Xenopus tropicalis: one gene and its partner. The protein of the gene in region 1 interacts with the protein of each later gene in a pairwise test. Links are inferred from orthologs where the notes say so. Each region holds a gene or a part of one and is shown on either strand. Other genes may lie near its edges.

Region 1 (7,935 bases):
CTATTTTTGGCGATTTTTGTAATGCTGGGTAAAACAGATAGCATAGTTTATTATTTTGTCTGCAGAGAAATAAAGTGGACAGAAAAAAAGGTTTGCTGGCCAGCAATAGAGAAGGGGGGAAAAACATTTTATACCAAACATAAAGGCAGACAAAATAAATCACTGTGCAACAAAAGGTACGGTTATTTATTACAGAGAAAATAAAAATTGTAATTTGCTTAAGGGCTGTGGCACACGGAGAGATAAGTCGCCGTTCGACAAATCTCCCTTGTCGCGGGTGACTAATCTCCCCGAAATGCCATCCAACCGGCAATTTACATTCTAGCTGGTGGGATGGCATATCAGGGAGATTAGTCGCCCGTGACAAGGGATATTTGTCGCGGGCAACTAATCTCCCCGTCTGTCACAGCCCTAAGGGTGAAGACACATGGGGCAACTAGTAGCAGCTAATTGCTGTGGCTACTAAAATAGACAATGTTGATGTTTTACTGATAATTGTCTCTACATATGTTTTAGCAGTGGTAATTCTCAGTATTGTCTATGGCAGGGTATTTTCTGGTGTTTAGTAGCCATGAAAAAGTAGTTGCTACTAGTAGCTCTGTGTATCTTCACCCTAAAATGGACTTGGAGATGGTCTTCCCATAGATTAGAGCTTTCTAGATAATGGATTTCCAAATGAGGAATCCCAAATCTGTACTTTATCAAACATCTGTTGGTACAGAGGAGCTTCAGTTCATCTCACAGGTTCAGATGGCATATACAAGAACACACAAAATGGTTGGTTAGGCCCCCTTTGCCAACAAGACTAAAAAGGTAAATACATTTACTGTTTGTAACTGAGCCAACCATTTCTTGAAAAAAGATTTACCATTTAGGGATGAGTAATTTGGCATTAATAGGTTCATTTATCAATATAAGTGAATTTGCCATGTTGCCAATACTATTGCTATAGCTTCCTTAGGGAGAAGAGATTTATTAATAGCTGCAGTGGCCTTTGCTCACCATTAGGTGGAGATGCTTGATAATCAGTTGTTGCAGAGAGAGTTTGCACACATTTCTGATGTCTGTACAGGTTTGACTAATAAGTTTCCAGTCAGAACTAGGTTATTCATGAACGGTAGCATTATGTCTACCATAAGCAGGAAGTGACATGTATAGGTAGACTAGACCAGATCAAACTTGTGCAGCCCTGCTAACTGGCAGGTAAGTGGAATCTACTCTACCAACATAACCACTGGTAATTAAACACGGCACTTACCACATATTTTAAGAGGAGCTTCAAGCTCAAGCAAGATTGGCTGACTGAGGAAGATTTCCCGAGACTTCAGACAGAGCCCTCGAATCTCATTCTCTTGAAGCTGAACATTTTTTCCCGGTTTTGATCCTCTAACTAGAACAAAATTAAATGGTTCAACATAAAGGGTATAATAAACCATGACATTCAATTTTGAAAATAGTATACTAAAAAGGGTTGATATTTTAGAAAAATCACATCCTGTAGTCATGAATATATGAAGCCCAACCTCAATAAGGGTTTAAAATGCTGCTGAGCCACTGTGGTCCATCAAGACACACCACTCACTTGTAACCAATAATCCTCACCCAAAAGCAAGGGTAGGTAGGTAGCCAGTCACCGCTTTATCTGGTTTCTAATTGACTAATATGTTAAACAGTCAGCCTGGTTCTAGCATATTATGGGGAGAAATAATGCAAATTAGTACAACAGAATACTTAAAAAGGATGTTCATACTGCAATGGCACCACTCTATATTGACACTACAAGTACAATTTTAAAATAGCAACCAAGAATGTGAATGACCAATCAATGTAAAGTTGATTTTTGTACCAATGTATTAGCCTCATAGACAACTGCAGTTTGTAGGACTATGTTCTTGCTTGATGTAAGATACATACATAAATACACTAAATGAAAACATGAGTTCGAATCCCAAATGGGATAAATTCGGATTGGATACGATAATTTCTTAAGATCGCAAATATCACGAATATGCTTATGAAAAAATCTCATTAGTCACGATATCGTATTGCCGATCCGAAAGTCTTGAAATTTTCGTACCGAACAATCGTAAAATGCAGGCAACCCTTTCCGACTTTGATCCTTCTGTGCATGATTTTGGAAGCCTCCCATAGGAATCAATGGCACTCTGCAGCTCCAACCTGGCCCAAGGAAAGTCTCCCATAGGGCTCAATGGCACTCTGCAGCTCCAACCCGGCCCAAGGAAATTCTCCCATAGGAATCAATGGCACTGTGCAGCTCCAACCTGGCCCAAGGAAAGTCTCCCATAGGGCTCAATGGCACTCTGCAGCTCCAACCTGGCCCAAGGAAAGTCTCCCATAGGGCTCAATGGCACTCTGCAGCTCCAACCTGGCCCAAGGAAAGTCTCCCATAGGGCTCAATGGCACTCTGCAGCTCCAACCCGGCCCAAGGAAATTCTCCCATAGGAATCAATGGCACTGTGCAGCTCCAACCTGGCCCAAGGAAAGTCACGATACCAAAGCTTGAATGTATCCAAAACGTTCTTACTCAGCGCGACAATACGATTTTGTCGCACAAATTTTGTCGCAAAGTACGAAAAAGTCACCAAAAATACGCTCGGAGCGTTCGTGAATTAGTAAATGTAAACATGTTTTATGTTTGTAGCAAACGTTGATCAGTCCTGCACATCGAATTTTAGCCCATTCCTCTATACAGAACAGCTTCAGCTTTTGGATGTTTGTGGGTTTCCTCACATGAACAGTTTAAGTTAGGTCGTTCCACAATATTTAAATTGGAGAAGTCAGGACAAGCCCACATCTCATTTGTAATAGACAAGAGGATCTATGGGTAGCTTCTCTAAATGTGACATTTTCAGAGTAAACACTTAAGGGCACTGAATCAGGCACCATATATTATTCATTGTTACCAACACGAGAGTGACTTTCAAAAATCCAATATGTCTCCATTAAAAGGTGCAGTATCCCCCCTTGTTTAACAATAGATCAATAAATAGGTCTTCTACGGAACACTTTTTGCCCATTTCAATTTTTAAAAATCTACCTCGCAAGGACCAAACATGGAATAGCTTCAGTTTTCCTGTTTAGCTCACAAAATAAAAATGAGATTTTTCACAATTAAAACAAAAGACATAAGTATATTCAGCCCCTATTTATTAAACAAATGTTGAGAAAGGAGGTATTATTGTTCCCCATGTGTTTTTTGCTGGGTGGAATCCAGCCTTGCTCGGCCTGCGCCTAAATATTAGACTAATAGTTACAGAAGGTGGTACGACAGTTGTTTGAAGAATCTGATCGCCTACAGCAAGAGAACTTCGGTTTCAGCTGGAGTGTTGGGGCAAGCAAATATTTTTGCTGACCCCCTTTTTCTTTTCCAGCTCAGCCAATGTTTTTTTTACTGGTGAAAACTGGGTATAATGCCCCTTTAATATATGTAAAATATAGGAGCAACAAGGTTTCATTGTCTTGTCTGGACACAACCACTTATATTTTGCCCTTACAAATACATTAGCATATCAGCCTACAGAATTTTAGTCATTAACATTTAGTATGCTGCAGATTTATACAATTAAAATCTTGACTTTTATTTACTTTATATTCACAGTTGAAGGTCTAAAATGCCATGTGAATGCAAGTCAGTGAACTAGGAATTCAGAATCATTGCAAGGCTTTTATTATGTCCTTTTTTACTCACTATTTGTACTTCAATTTGAAGTAGAAAGAAAACAAGAAAATTGCATTCACCGCAGAAAATATGGGCTAATTAAGCCTGCATTCTGGTTGGGGCAAACTATACATTTTGCCCCAAAAAACACTTTGGCTTTGTATGTAATAGGGCTATGCTGTCCACACCAGGAGGTAGTGTAAAGTGGGCAGCCATATTTGGAGCCTAAACATAAGCTGGCACATTCATGCGAATGCGTGCATCACAACAGGAATGTTCACAATGAGTAAGTCAGTTAACTCATTACATATACATAAATATATGTATATAGACTATATACCATAAATAGATGCCCACTAATAGTATTGCTTTCTTCCACCCGAGTTGCAGGGTCTATTAGCCGTAAACAATTTTCCTATCACAGTTGCCCTTTAAACAAGTAACTGGTTGCAAGGACCTGTAACCCCACAAGGGAATTGCAGCCTAAGTTGCCAAATAGAGAACCGAGGAGCAAAAAGTGTTAGAGAAAAAAAAAAGAAAATGTAATGGCACCTCTACACAGAGCTAGTAGCTTACATTTCCTCATTAAAGTCACACCACATCAGCATTAATTTACTAATGAGAACAACAAATGAAAATAGATCCAGTCATTGCTGCTCACCCATTGCCCATAACTAAAGGCAAACTACACAAAATGACACAATCTATTCTTCCAACTCCCCCATATAGTGCATCAGTAAAGCTGCGAGTGAGAGCAGCACAGCTGTGGCACAGGGTCAGGATAACCCCCACCTATTGGCAATATACACAGTTATGAAGGTCAACTAAGGCAAATGGAAATAATCAGCTAATGCACAACATGCCCCCTATGGAGTGAGCAATAATCATAGTTCAATCTAAAGTCTGAAGCACCTTGGTCCCTATACGGATCGCTGCGATTCCCAGGTGTATGGAGCGCTGCGCAGTGTTAAGGATCGGATATACTGGGTGAATCCGGATTCTGCACATGGAATACACATGCAGCGGCTAGGAGCCAGCGGATCGCCTCTATACAATGTATATTGGGCCAGTCCGGCCAATAACTCGTACAACAGCCTGATTAACTAGATATATACTATGAGCAATCAGAGCGGCACCCTGTATGTACCGGAGTATAGAATAAAGTCCTGTTCCGGTAACGGCTCCGTAACGCAACTGCAGGCTGACAGCCGCTCCAACTGCCATATCAATCTCAGCACAAGGAGCCCAGCCAGGATGCTACAAACCCCGCTGCCCCAATAATAACACCGTGTATACATCATTGCTCACTCACATACATAGCTAATGGCAACCCTTTCAACCCTGCCACCACATGAAAGTAAAGTGACAGAGTGTAAGGAAACCCGGCCAGGCCTTCCCGAGTACCATCCTCACCTTCTAACAGTCGCTGTATGATGCTGTCGATGTTAAGCTTGTCAACATCTGCCATTGCTCCGAAAGTCTAAATGGCGGACCCAGTAAACTGTCGCAATAAAAACAGAAGCCCAAACGTACTGGAAACCGGGCAGGGGGCAGTCTTGGCGCCGCAGCGGCTTTTCAATCCCCCTCGCTCGTCTTCCGCTACAGACTCCCAAGAACCTGACAAAATGGCGCCACCTCCTCCCCTGCCGGCCCGCGCATGAATATCTATGCACGACCTGGTACATTTTAAAGACCCAGGCGATAGCACGTACAGTCAAATCTCAACCCACGCTGTGTTTCATTGCGCCAGCCGTTTCTGAAATTTGGCCGTATTTGCGAGCTAGGACTATTTTTTCTCTAGTGCCAAAAGTTAGTACTGCGTATATAAAAAATGGTAACCGTTATCGGTTTTAGGAATGCATTACACGTGTGAGGGTTGTTTTTGTTTTAAAAAAGATCCAGTGACATTGTCTTTGATCATTCTGTGGGTTTCTAGGTTTTGTAAATGATATTTGAATGAGGTGTAATTTCCAAAACAAAGTGAAATACTTAGTAATTTTGAAAAAACGATACACGTAAAATAAAAATAGATATGGCTACTTCACGTCAGCTAAATTTATTGTTTTCAACTAATACACAGAAATACCTTTTGGTAGCCTCCTAACAGGGTTGCCATCAGTAATTATGGGGCTACTCCTTGACACCTGAGCAGTGGATCCTGCAAAAAAGTACAATGGAGCTCCAAAAAAACCCGAATTCACTCCCATTTTTGCCAAGTTGTCCACAATCAGCCCAGACTTCACCCACTAGCCCAAAAGTCTCAGATCAGCTCTTGTGAGAAGCCCTTGCTATCAGGCCCCTGACCAAATTTCCCTCTGTCCCATCTGATGGCAGTGCTGCTGCCTAAGCTGTCACATTTAATACATTAATTGCTGTTTTTTCTCAGTAGTTGCAGAAGCCTTTGCCCCAAATAATTGTACTCCCTGACTTCATGCTTTCTGGCTTAGTAACGCAAGAAGAAACGTGCAGGTATCAATGCTTCTGTACATTGGCCAGGGCCAGGGCCAGCCAGGAGGTTTGGCAATTTCTTGGCCAGTGGAAACCCAGACACCTGAAGATCAGGAGACCAGTGTCTCAACTAGTCCAGGGTGAATAATTATTACCCTACCAACTTAGTGTTAATTGAAATCTCTACACCAGTATTGAAATAAATATGTTGTAGAAAGTTAGGACTAGGCTGCCAACAGCCTAACACCATTCTAAATGTTTGATCTGGTGCTCCCTGCAAAAAACAGCACAACTTTGGACACAAGTGCTCGGTAGATAAGCCCTTGTGCCCTTTAGTGCTCTTGCATCTGTGCCAAGGGCCTTTCTAACTGACCCCTTTACTTTTTTTTATTTCATAGTATTGTCACAAAAGGGGATTGTTTCTTTAAGATTTTTATTAGAATGAATACAAAGCTCCCAGCAGTTCACCAGTGGTTAATTTCACAGTAGATACCTCAAGGCAAGGTATATATATATTCATTTCAGGCATCATGAGCCAAAGCTCATAATGCTTTTTAAATTCCAACAATATACAAAGTAAATTGAAATGAAACAAATATCACATTACTAAATAAATACAACTGTAAAAGCATTCTTCAAATTAAACAGTCTCACCTCTGCAGATTAGCCTGTCCTCCACTACTTTTTACACAAAGGGTAATAATGGAGCCAGTAAGTCAAATGCAAACATGCTTGATGCACACTTATTCTGAGTAGCTGAAAAAGGCACAATAGAAAGAGAAGTTCAGAAACTATAAAAAAAAAATAAAAACCAATCACACACCTGCATAGAGAATATCTGTTTATTTTACTGTTCCCTTCAAATCTGTTACACTTGCACAAATCCTCCTGGCAAGGGGGCATGTTGGTGTGAACTCAGCCCTTTAAAAGAAGTAAAGTAAGAGTATATTCTAGAATTTGTTTCTTGGACTTTGTCATTCTAGTTGTGTCTATCAAACTCTGACAATAATATTTCATATACGCTGGGTCAAATTAGGTCTAAATTTTAAATAAAGGAAGCAGCAACAGAGACTATATTAAACATCCCCAAATCATGGCTTTGTACTCTGTACTACAAATTAATCCAAGGCTTTGAGCAAAAAAAACAGCTAAACCTTTGTAAACATGGGTTCATCATTTCTTTTGATTGGGATAAGTGAAGTGCTGCCAGATATTCATTGTTGTTATACTGAAGTCTGTCATATCATTTCTTTGAAGTTATGTCTTTGCTAATATGCTTTTGGCACAAGGATTATTATTTAAAACAAGATTCAGTAGTTTTATTGATTTGTTGTTACAATATTGATTTTTGGTAGTGGTGTTGTAACAACAGTTGGTCAGATACCCAGAGAAAGACTGCTGACAATAGCCTTACTTCTTCATAAAGTGAAAATAACCCTACAAACACCAGTCCTCATCAACACCCTTTTGGGGACCTGCTCACAAGAAACCCAAAATGTTTCAGAAAAAACTTCGGTGAATTAAAGACAAAAATGTATGTATATTTTATTTATAAAGTTCTACTTATGTACAGCAGAACAGTGAATTAATAGGGGTTGATACAATAATAAATCAAAACACAATTACATTAAGGGAGGTGGCAGATGGGAAGATTAGTCACCCATGATAAATCTTCGATACCGCGGGCAACTAAATGCCTGAAATGCCACCCCACCAGCAAAATTGTGAATTGCCGGTGGGATGGCATACATATCAATTTGTTTTTCGGAAATCACCCCAAGTTTCCTTGTGAGGCAGCTTCTGAAAAC
Region 2 (7,889 bases), on another chromosome or scaffold:
AATTCTGTTTTCCAAGGTAAACTAAAATTACCCCTAGGAAAGGCCCCTAAAGTGAAAAATGTTAAAAAATGGTCAGACAGTAAAAGTACCTCCATGACCGGCTGGCAGTTAAAGAGTATTATAAATGTATATGTATAAATGTATTGCAGCATTTTACCAGGCTACTTTTTAAAAATCTTATTGGTAGCTATGGGTTACTAGACCTGGAATAAACTTTGCACTTTTTATTACATGACATAAATGGAAAAAAACATGCCCTAGGTATGTATAAAATGCAATATTTTAAGTATCAAATACAAAACAATGCCTATTTTTTTCTTAAATTAGGATTTGGAAGAGCATCTGGTGCATTATACCAAGCCATATGTTCTGCTGACTTCTTAAATAGTTATTTAGACCCTTAGGTAAAATGTTGATTTAGAGCTAATAATACCCAATCTCAAGACATATCCCTTATGCAGATGATCAAGATTTATGAGCAGTCATCATGAATCCGTGATTATCCCTGTTGTGTGATAACAGGATAAAAAAAGCCGCATTGAATTGACATTCAGCGCTGAGCGTTCTTGCATAAATGCACTGTGATTTTTTTTCATTAATTCATCTAATGCAAGCAACATGGAAGCGACATATGGATTTTAACCTCTTATTGAAAAAATATGTATGACTTAATGTCGATGACTTACACGTCTCAATATCGATGATGTTGAGACATGTAAAAGGTGCTTTTATAAGATGTAATATTATTCTGGTTTCTGCCGTCTTATGCAAGACAAGATTTCACAACCATATAGACAAAACAACCTTTACCATTTCATATCAATCACTTAAATTGTGGCAGTGGAGGTATCACCCATCCCCTTCCCACTGAAAGAAATCAGAAAAAGCCCTATAACTGCACTAGGAAATTACTCTAAACTGCGTAGCTTTACTATCTGTAATATTATGTAGCTATTCTTGCTTTTTATTGTAGCTATGTAGCTATTCTGGTGTTTTATTTAGAATGCCATATGGTTTCACCCACTTAATTATAGAGAAATTACAGCCTATTTTCTTACCCCATCTACAGGCATCCTGGCCTTGGAAATGGTCCTACTTGTAGAATCCTGGCTTGCTCTGTTTGCTTTGCTCTTCTTTAAAGAATCTTGGGCAAAGAGTCCCCCCATCCTCCGTGAGGAGTTTCTTCTCAGAAGGGTTTGCCCACCTCTCAAGCCATCTAGTATTCGTACTAATAATAAGTTGGCTGGCAGCTCTTCAATGCTGCATTGTACAGGGGTCCTGCATTCTGGGCATTTCAGTTCCTTTTTGGCTTTAAATAGTCTCTGCAGACAAGGCTGGCAAAAGGTATGTTGGCATGGCAGCACCTTGGCATTAACATCCAATTTTCCAAGGCATAAGGGGCAATCCAGGAGGTCAAGAACAACCAATTCATCCATCTTATTCGAAATATGCAGTTAAACCAAAGATGATGAAGGCTTCATAGTCACTAAAACAAAGAGCAGAAAAGTGTTTTTAATCTAAGAATCCTGAGACCCACACCTAAAGATGGGCCAACGATTAAAAATAATTCACCAACACATCATATCAAGGCGAAATCCTATGTACTGTATTATCCAGCAATCTCTCATCAGACGCCTTTCAAATGTGCACCTCAGTTCTACAGTCGAGTTTCTATTCCAATGAGTCATATTTGTGATTCACAAATACAATGGAATTTATAAAATACTGCTTTCTTGTTGCATTGCTGTCAGGATTCAAGGGTTGTGCTTTACAGGAAACATACAAAGAATCACTTGATTTTTCTACACTTTCATGGTGGTTCAGAAAGGACAATCTGTTTAATTTAGGTTTTACACCTAGCCATATTTTTCCCAGCTATTATGAAGAAAGATCAAGGCGTTACGTTTCAGTATTTTGCTAATCTGAACTTTAGGTGCACTGTTATATTCTCCTACAATAAATATTGCTATAATGCTGTAGTTCTGACATCATAGCTGGGGCATGTTGATAAATTTGAAATCCGAAGAAATTAGAATTAGTTTGGTAAATGGGGAACTTTATAGAATTAAAAATGGGTGTAACAATAGAGAGTATAGCGGTCCTAAGAAGATCCTGCTATAAACTTTCAATGTGCAAAAGCCATTTTTATCACCAAAGTTTATTGCTGGCCCTTAATTATTTACTTAATAAGGCATTATTTCTTATTGCAATAATAGTCAAAGACTGTATAAATTGACTGTACCATATAAAATTCAAAGTACAAGGCTGATAATCTCTGTAACATTAACTGATACAACAGAATTTCACTTTCTGCAAAGGTTTTGATTTATAATGATGACCCCTAAACTTAGGGACTCCTGAGCCACTGAGCATGTGCGGTGGATCACAAGATTAGAAGATGGGGAGTTTCTCTGGGCAACTTTGAAGGCATAGACCATTACTGATTCAGTACATAATGTTCAGCATTTCTAGTTACCCTTGTTTTTGCTTTAGTACTCCTTTAATTACATAGATATGGGAGTGACCACATTTTGGTCATACTTCCAGAATTTATTACACAATACAAAGATTAGAACTATCACACCCAACCATACTTACCCAGGCATTTATTTATTTTGTGTTCTAGCAGTATAACTAAATGAACCCAGTAAGAGGAAAGTAAGTTGCAAATGAAAAAAGAATCATGCCATTAAGCTGACAAGTTTCCTCCATGTCAGCCAGCCAAATCATTCTCTTCAGAGAATTTACATGACTGCAGGTAAAAGTGTGAAGTAACTCTTGCAACATAAATCTGTGATAACATCTTCTTTCTTGATGAGAATTATTACGCAAGTTTGAAAATGGGCTGGCAGAAGAGGTGTCAAACAGCTTAATCTGGCTATTTTAAACTACAAATATGTATATAGTTTTTTTCCCTGAGGAAGATCATGATGATGTGACCGAAATGTTGGAATTTTTTTGTTTGTCTATTAAAATCTGTTACACCAAGCCTGTTGAGTGTAGTCATATTTTTTGCTGCTTTGTACACATTTTACCAGGCATGCTGTAAATTATATTTTTTTAAATGTTTTTTTAATATAAATAACATATTTAAATATAATTTATTTTATAGGGGACCAGTGGACTAAATTTCAAGCAGCTTTTGGGTGTAAATGATAAGAAATGCTCTTCCTAAATTAATAAAAGAAAACTCTATTAGCATGAAAGTTCTATAAAGTCCAATAATGCAACATTCAAAATGGGCACATTCCTTGTCAAGGTGTCAGTCAGCTCCAGGGCCATGGGCACATCAGCCAGGAGCAATGAATTAGTATAAGTATGAACAGTGCTTTGTGGAATTAATACGAATCTACCTATCGCAAAAGCTCTGCCAGTTCTACTGTGGGTTTATACTATACTTTTTTGGGGGGTAAGAAATGGTGTTTAATGCATATTATTAAATGATACCTTGTGAGTCTGTTAAAATATATGATGTGTGCCAAGATGAAAATCAGTTTATCTGTATTTAGAATGCAGTATGGATATAGGATTCCTTAGAATAAGACCATTAGAAACATTATCCAGAAAGCTCCAGATTACAAAAAGGCCATCTTCCATAGACTCAACTTTAAGCAAATAATTCTAATTTTTTTAAAAAAAGATTTTACTTTTCTCTATAATAATAGAACCTTGTATTAAAGGTAATTATGCTGCATGAATACATACTGGTGGCAAATGGTGATCCAAATTATATTATTCTGGATAATAGATCATATGCCTGTATATATCCCTAGATAAGGTATAGCATATAGCACAGTAGATATCTGTGTAAACACAATAATAAAAACATCTAATAAACTAATCCCAGAAATCCAGTTACACAACAAATGGGACCTATGAAACGATACAAGACAGTAGGGAGTTATTCAGGGCAACAGTAAAACTGTCTGTATTAATACACAACACTGAAATACATACCTTTTTAATTGTTTTTAACTGATAAAAACTACAATAGATACTTTTTGGGGGGGGTTCATTGTAAATACACGTTAAATAAAGGAAAAAGGAAACATATATATAAGCATTTAATAGAATTAGATTTCTTCTATTAAAACAGAATAGTTATTTTATTGCCTCTAGTGTTCCCACTTACCAAACAATGTTGTCACATGCATTGTATCTAAAAAAAATATTATATACAGCTATTATAAGCATTTACCAACCACCATGCCAACGGGGTCTGTGTTATTTAAACAAAAATCCTGACTTTATCCCAAAGAGCAGTAGACAAGAGCACATGTAGACAAAGAAAAAGTAGAACAATTCAATCGCAATGCCTTGCTCTGCTATACCGGCTAGAAAATCTGAGATTACAAATATAAATAGTGTTTTGAAGTAACCATCCTCTACACCTCTGTCATCCAAAGAGTTTGCAACAACTGACCTTCTCTTGTATAAACCTTTATACCACACAGCTCATGGGACAATCCAGCCTCGTTCCTCATGCTACAGCTGCATAAAAAAGCAACTTTGCTATACTCTGAATTTCTCTTAGATCAGTTTACTGGTACAGCCCATTTAACCCTTCTTGAGGCAGGTTGGATTCTTGGCATGAGTCCTGAGGAGGAAGTTTGGATGTGTTCCTGTGAACACACACGGTGTTCCTGGTATTTCAAAATCCAAAGAATAAAACAAGAAGCTTAAATTTGCTGTGAAGGGCATTTTCAAGAAAACAAGTTTCAACAATATGCTTATTATCGCATTTAGGAATTCTTTCCTTACAGTAAAAGTGTTTTAATATAATAGAGATAGAAAAGAACATGATATTAATATCATATACCCATGAATATGCCATGACATGATAAAAACCTGAGGTGGGCTTGTAGGGCAGATTAGTTATCATTAAGTTGATATTGAATGTAGTCTATGCAGGAAGGCTTGCTGAAGAATCATCATATGAGGAAAAGTAGTCTCCTTTCTTTCCTAAACTATTAGGAGAAAATAAATCTATAGGAGAAGGTACTGAGAGTAATAACTAAATCCAATGCTGTAACTTAGACATTAAACAATCATCCAGAAGTCATGTACCTCCTAAAATGTTCTTGTAGGACATTGATAAAAGGGAGCAATTGGTGGTAGTACCAGAATGTATTACTAACATTCTGGAGGAGACCCAGAGATCACTTTTCAATTACATCAGTCAGAATTTTACAGTGCTTACAGCTTCCTGTGACCCCAGTGAGTACAAGCACCCTAGAAATATTATATGTTGCCTACACATATGCACAATGAAAGAAGATGGCTACAGATGCTCTCGGTGAGCTGTACTATGGACGTCAAATAGAAATACTACATCCCCTTCACACCATACAGACTTTCAAAGGGTCGTGAAGACATATAAGTGCAAGAATGGGAATTTGAACAGACAGTTTGGCTGATCACCCCTACTCAGGCACTGAAACAGACTAATTTAAATATAATGACTACATGAAACTTTCTATCTGATAGGGAGACAGAAGGTTATGTGAGTATATTATGTATTTCAGTAATGAAGTTTTATGTTTCCCCAATGTCCAAAGGGATCCAACACTATACATATCTGTTACAAACTTTGCTTACAACAGCATTATGCAGAACATTACACCCAAGGCTGTTTCATGTTAAAAGAATAAATGTCTTTGGTTGGTGCTCCCAGAAGCTTCTAGATTGACTGAAGCTTGCTCTACTCTCTCTACTGTAGCTTTTTACTTTGTATGACCACAAAAGCTCAAAAATGATTTTTTTCAATGTATTCATCTATAATTTATGTGCTTTGTGCAGCACTTTAGTCAGCTCAAAGGGGCTTTGTTATACACCTTTTAATGCCCAAATAAAATGCTCTTCTGTCACCTTTGCATTTAAGTTCAGCAACTAAAGTGAACCTTGACACTCGTTAAGGCAGACAACAACAAAAGATCCAATATACATATAGAACATTGAGATATTTTGTGCATTAAGCTACCAAGAAATGCCCTCCCCTTAAAGCAAAACAGGGATTGTTTGTCAATGTACTTCAAGCTGGCCAACTACATCAAAGTCATCCCCTGTCTCTGTGTATTCTGTTTTGCACACTCAGAGTCATTGCTGAGCAGGAGTCAGAAGATCCTAACTATTCAGCTGAACTACATCCAAACCTTCAATGACTTTACAGATCTGGACAACTGAACATGACAATTTTTTGTTCACAGATGATGCATTTTTATTCATAAATTTGTGGAAGTGCTCGCTGCAGGTACCCCGGGCTGGTGCGGTTTTCTCCTAACAGGGGCACCAGCCCAGGGTACAAGGTAAACGATTAAAGTCACTTGGGGGTGCCTAACATTTTGGCACCCCCAAGTGACTTAGCCTTTCCTTCTTTAACATAACATGTCCTAAACAGCCTAGCTTGTTCCACCATGGGTCATAACATGTCTCCACTGATTTATCATATTCAGAGAAAACATCCCCCACCAAAAGCATCATACTAAATGGTGGAGCCATTTTTCTAGTAGTTTCCAAGAAAAAAAAGTTTATGGACACATAATAAATGGGAGGGATGATCAGTTTGTTATAATTGTTCCCTAAGTTAGTAGTTTGATTTGTAGTAGAAACTAGCTAGAATCTTATCTAGGCCACTGAATCTGCCATGTCAAGTTACTATTGCTAAAGATAGCCATTCCAGCAAGGCTTACACGATTCTACCTTTATCTGAAGTCAAAAACTCTTCAAGAAAATTTCCAGCCATAGCGTGCTGGTATTTATTTCCTCAACATTTACTGCAGTTCTGAACCAAAAGGTGCTCTTAGCACTTTTTTTTGGCTTAATCCCAACTCTTATAGTTTTCTGAGTCAGTTGTAATTGCATTGCCTTGGTAAGGTTGATCATAGCAGAGAATTCTGAATGTGTCATTTATTTTACAAGAAACCAGACAAGGCATGGCCTAGAAACCCAAGGGGATGGGAGGGTCTAATTAATAAGTTGTATAGAGGATGTTTATGAGATTAAAAAAATAATATCTTCAGAAGGAAATCCCTGGTTCTAGTCTCGCTGATAGCAAAAAGCTGAAATCTAACGAAGAAGGATAAGAATTAAGGGCCTACCGAGCAGCAAACATCACACCATTCACACTGCTGCCAATTCAAAACATTTTTTAGAGAATAAGCCAAAACAAATAAATAAACAAGTAAATGAAGATTTGAGTATTCATGCGTGAATGTCTGGATACTGTTATCATTATTTCTACAACACACAGCTAATTTAATCCACACTGATGCAGAATTGCTTTGGCACACGCTTAATGCTTAGAGCTGAAAATTGTATGTGGTCTGAAGAAAACTACTGGAGATTGCACTGCTTTATAGTTTTGATCCCTGGACAAACCAGCTTTAGGCTTTAATGTGATCTCAAATACAGCCAGGCTCTTTGACAAATGTAGTACTGAACATGCTGCAAAGTTATATATTTGCACACTTATGGGGGAATGTAATAAAAGTCATAAATGGAAAAAAAATGCGCACAAATAAGAATACAATTTAGCATTTCACAATGTAATATTGTTCAGTGGACTGTTATTACATTGCAAATTGCAAAAAAATATTACATTTTATAAATGCTATGAATGAGTGCTTAATTTTTTGCACTATTCGCTAGAGACCTTTGAGGGGCAGTATTGTATATTCTTTTTTTTCTTTTGTTTTAATCACAATTTAGATGCCCTGTATACATCCCACCTCCCCACTGTTCTGTTAACTGGAGTCTACACCGGAAATCAAATTATCTACTTCCCATGAACCAAATATGGAGTAGCTTCTGTAGTTTGCCCATTTAGCTCATGAAGTTACAAAAAATAAATAAATTATGATTTAAACAATTGGTTGAAAGTATGTTCAGCA

What was found.
Region 2: the proteins of ppp1cc (region 1) and sh3rf2 interact in a two-hybrid assay, tested with the Homo sapiens proteins (2 studies listed by BioGRID and IntAct). The link is inferred for Xenopus tropicalis from reciprocal best matches to the Homo sapiens genes PPP1CC and SH3RF2.

The regions. Positions count from the first base shown.
Region 1 is NC_030677.2:162,950,608-162,958,542, forward strand, and holds the start of ppp1cc (serine/threonine-protein phosphatase PP1-gamma catalytic subunit), read right to left. Parts: upstream 5,326-7,935; 5' UTR 5,148-5,325; coding exon 5,093-5,147; intron 1,391-5,092; coding exon 1,259-1,390; intron 1-1,258. UniProt on the Homo sapiens protein: Protein phosphatase that associates with over 200 regulatory proteins to form highly specific holoenzymes which dephosphorylate hundreds of biological targets.
Region 2 is NC_030679.2:39,619,000-39,626,888, reverse strand, and holds the start of sh3rf2 (E3 ubiquitin-protein ligase SH3RF2), read right to left. Parts: upstream 4,496-7,889; 5' UTR 4,424-4,495; intron 1,487-4,423; 5' UTR 1,437-1,486; coding exon 1,059-1,436; intron 1-1,058. UniProt on the Homo sapiens protein: Has E3 ubiquitin-protein ligase activity. Acts as an anti-apoptotic regulator of the JNK pathway by ubiquitinating and promoting the degradation of SH3RF1, a scaffold protein that is required for pro-apoptotic JNK activation.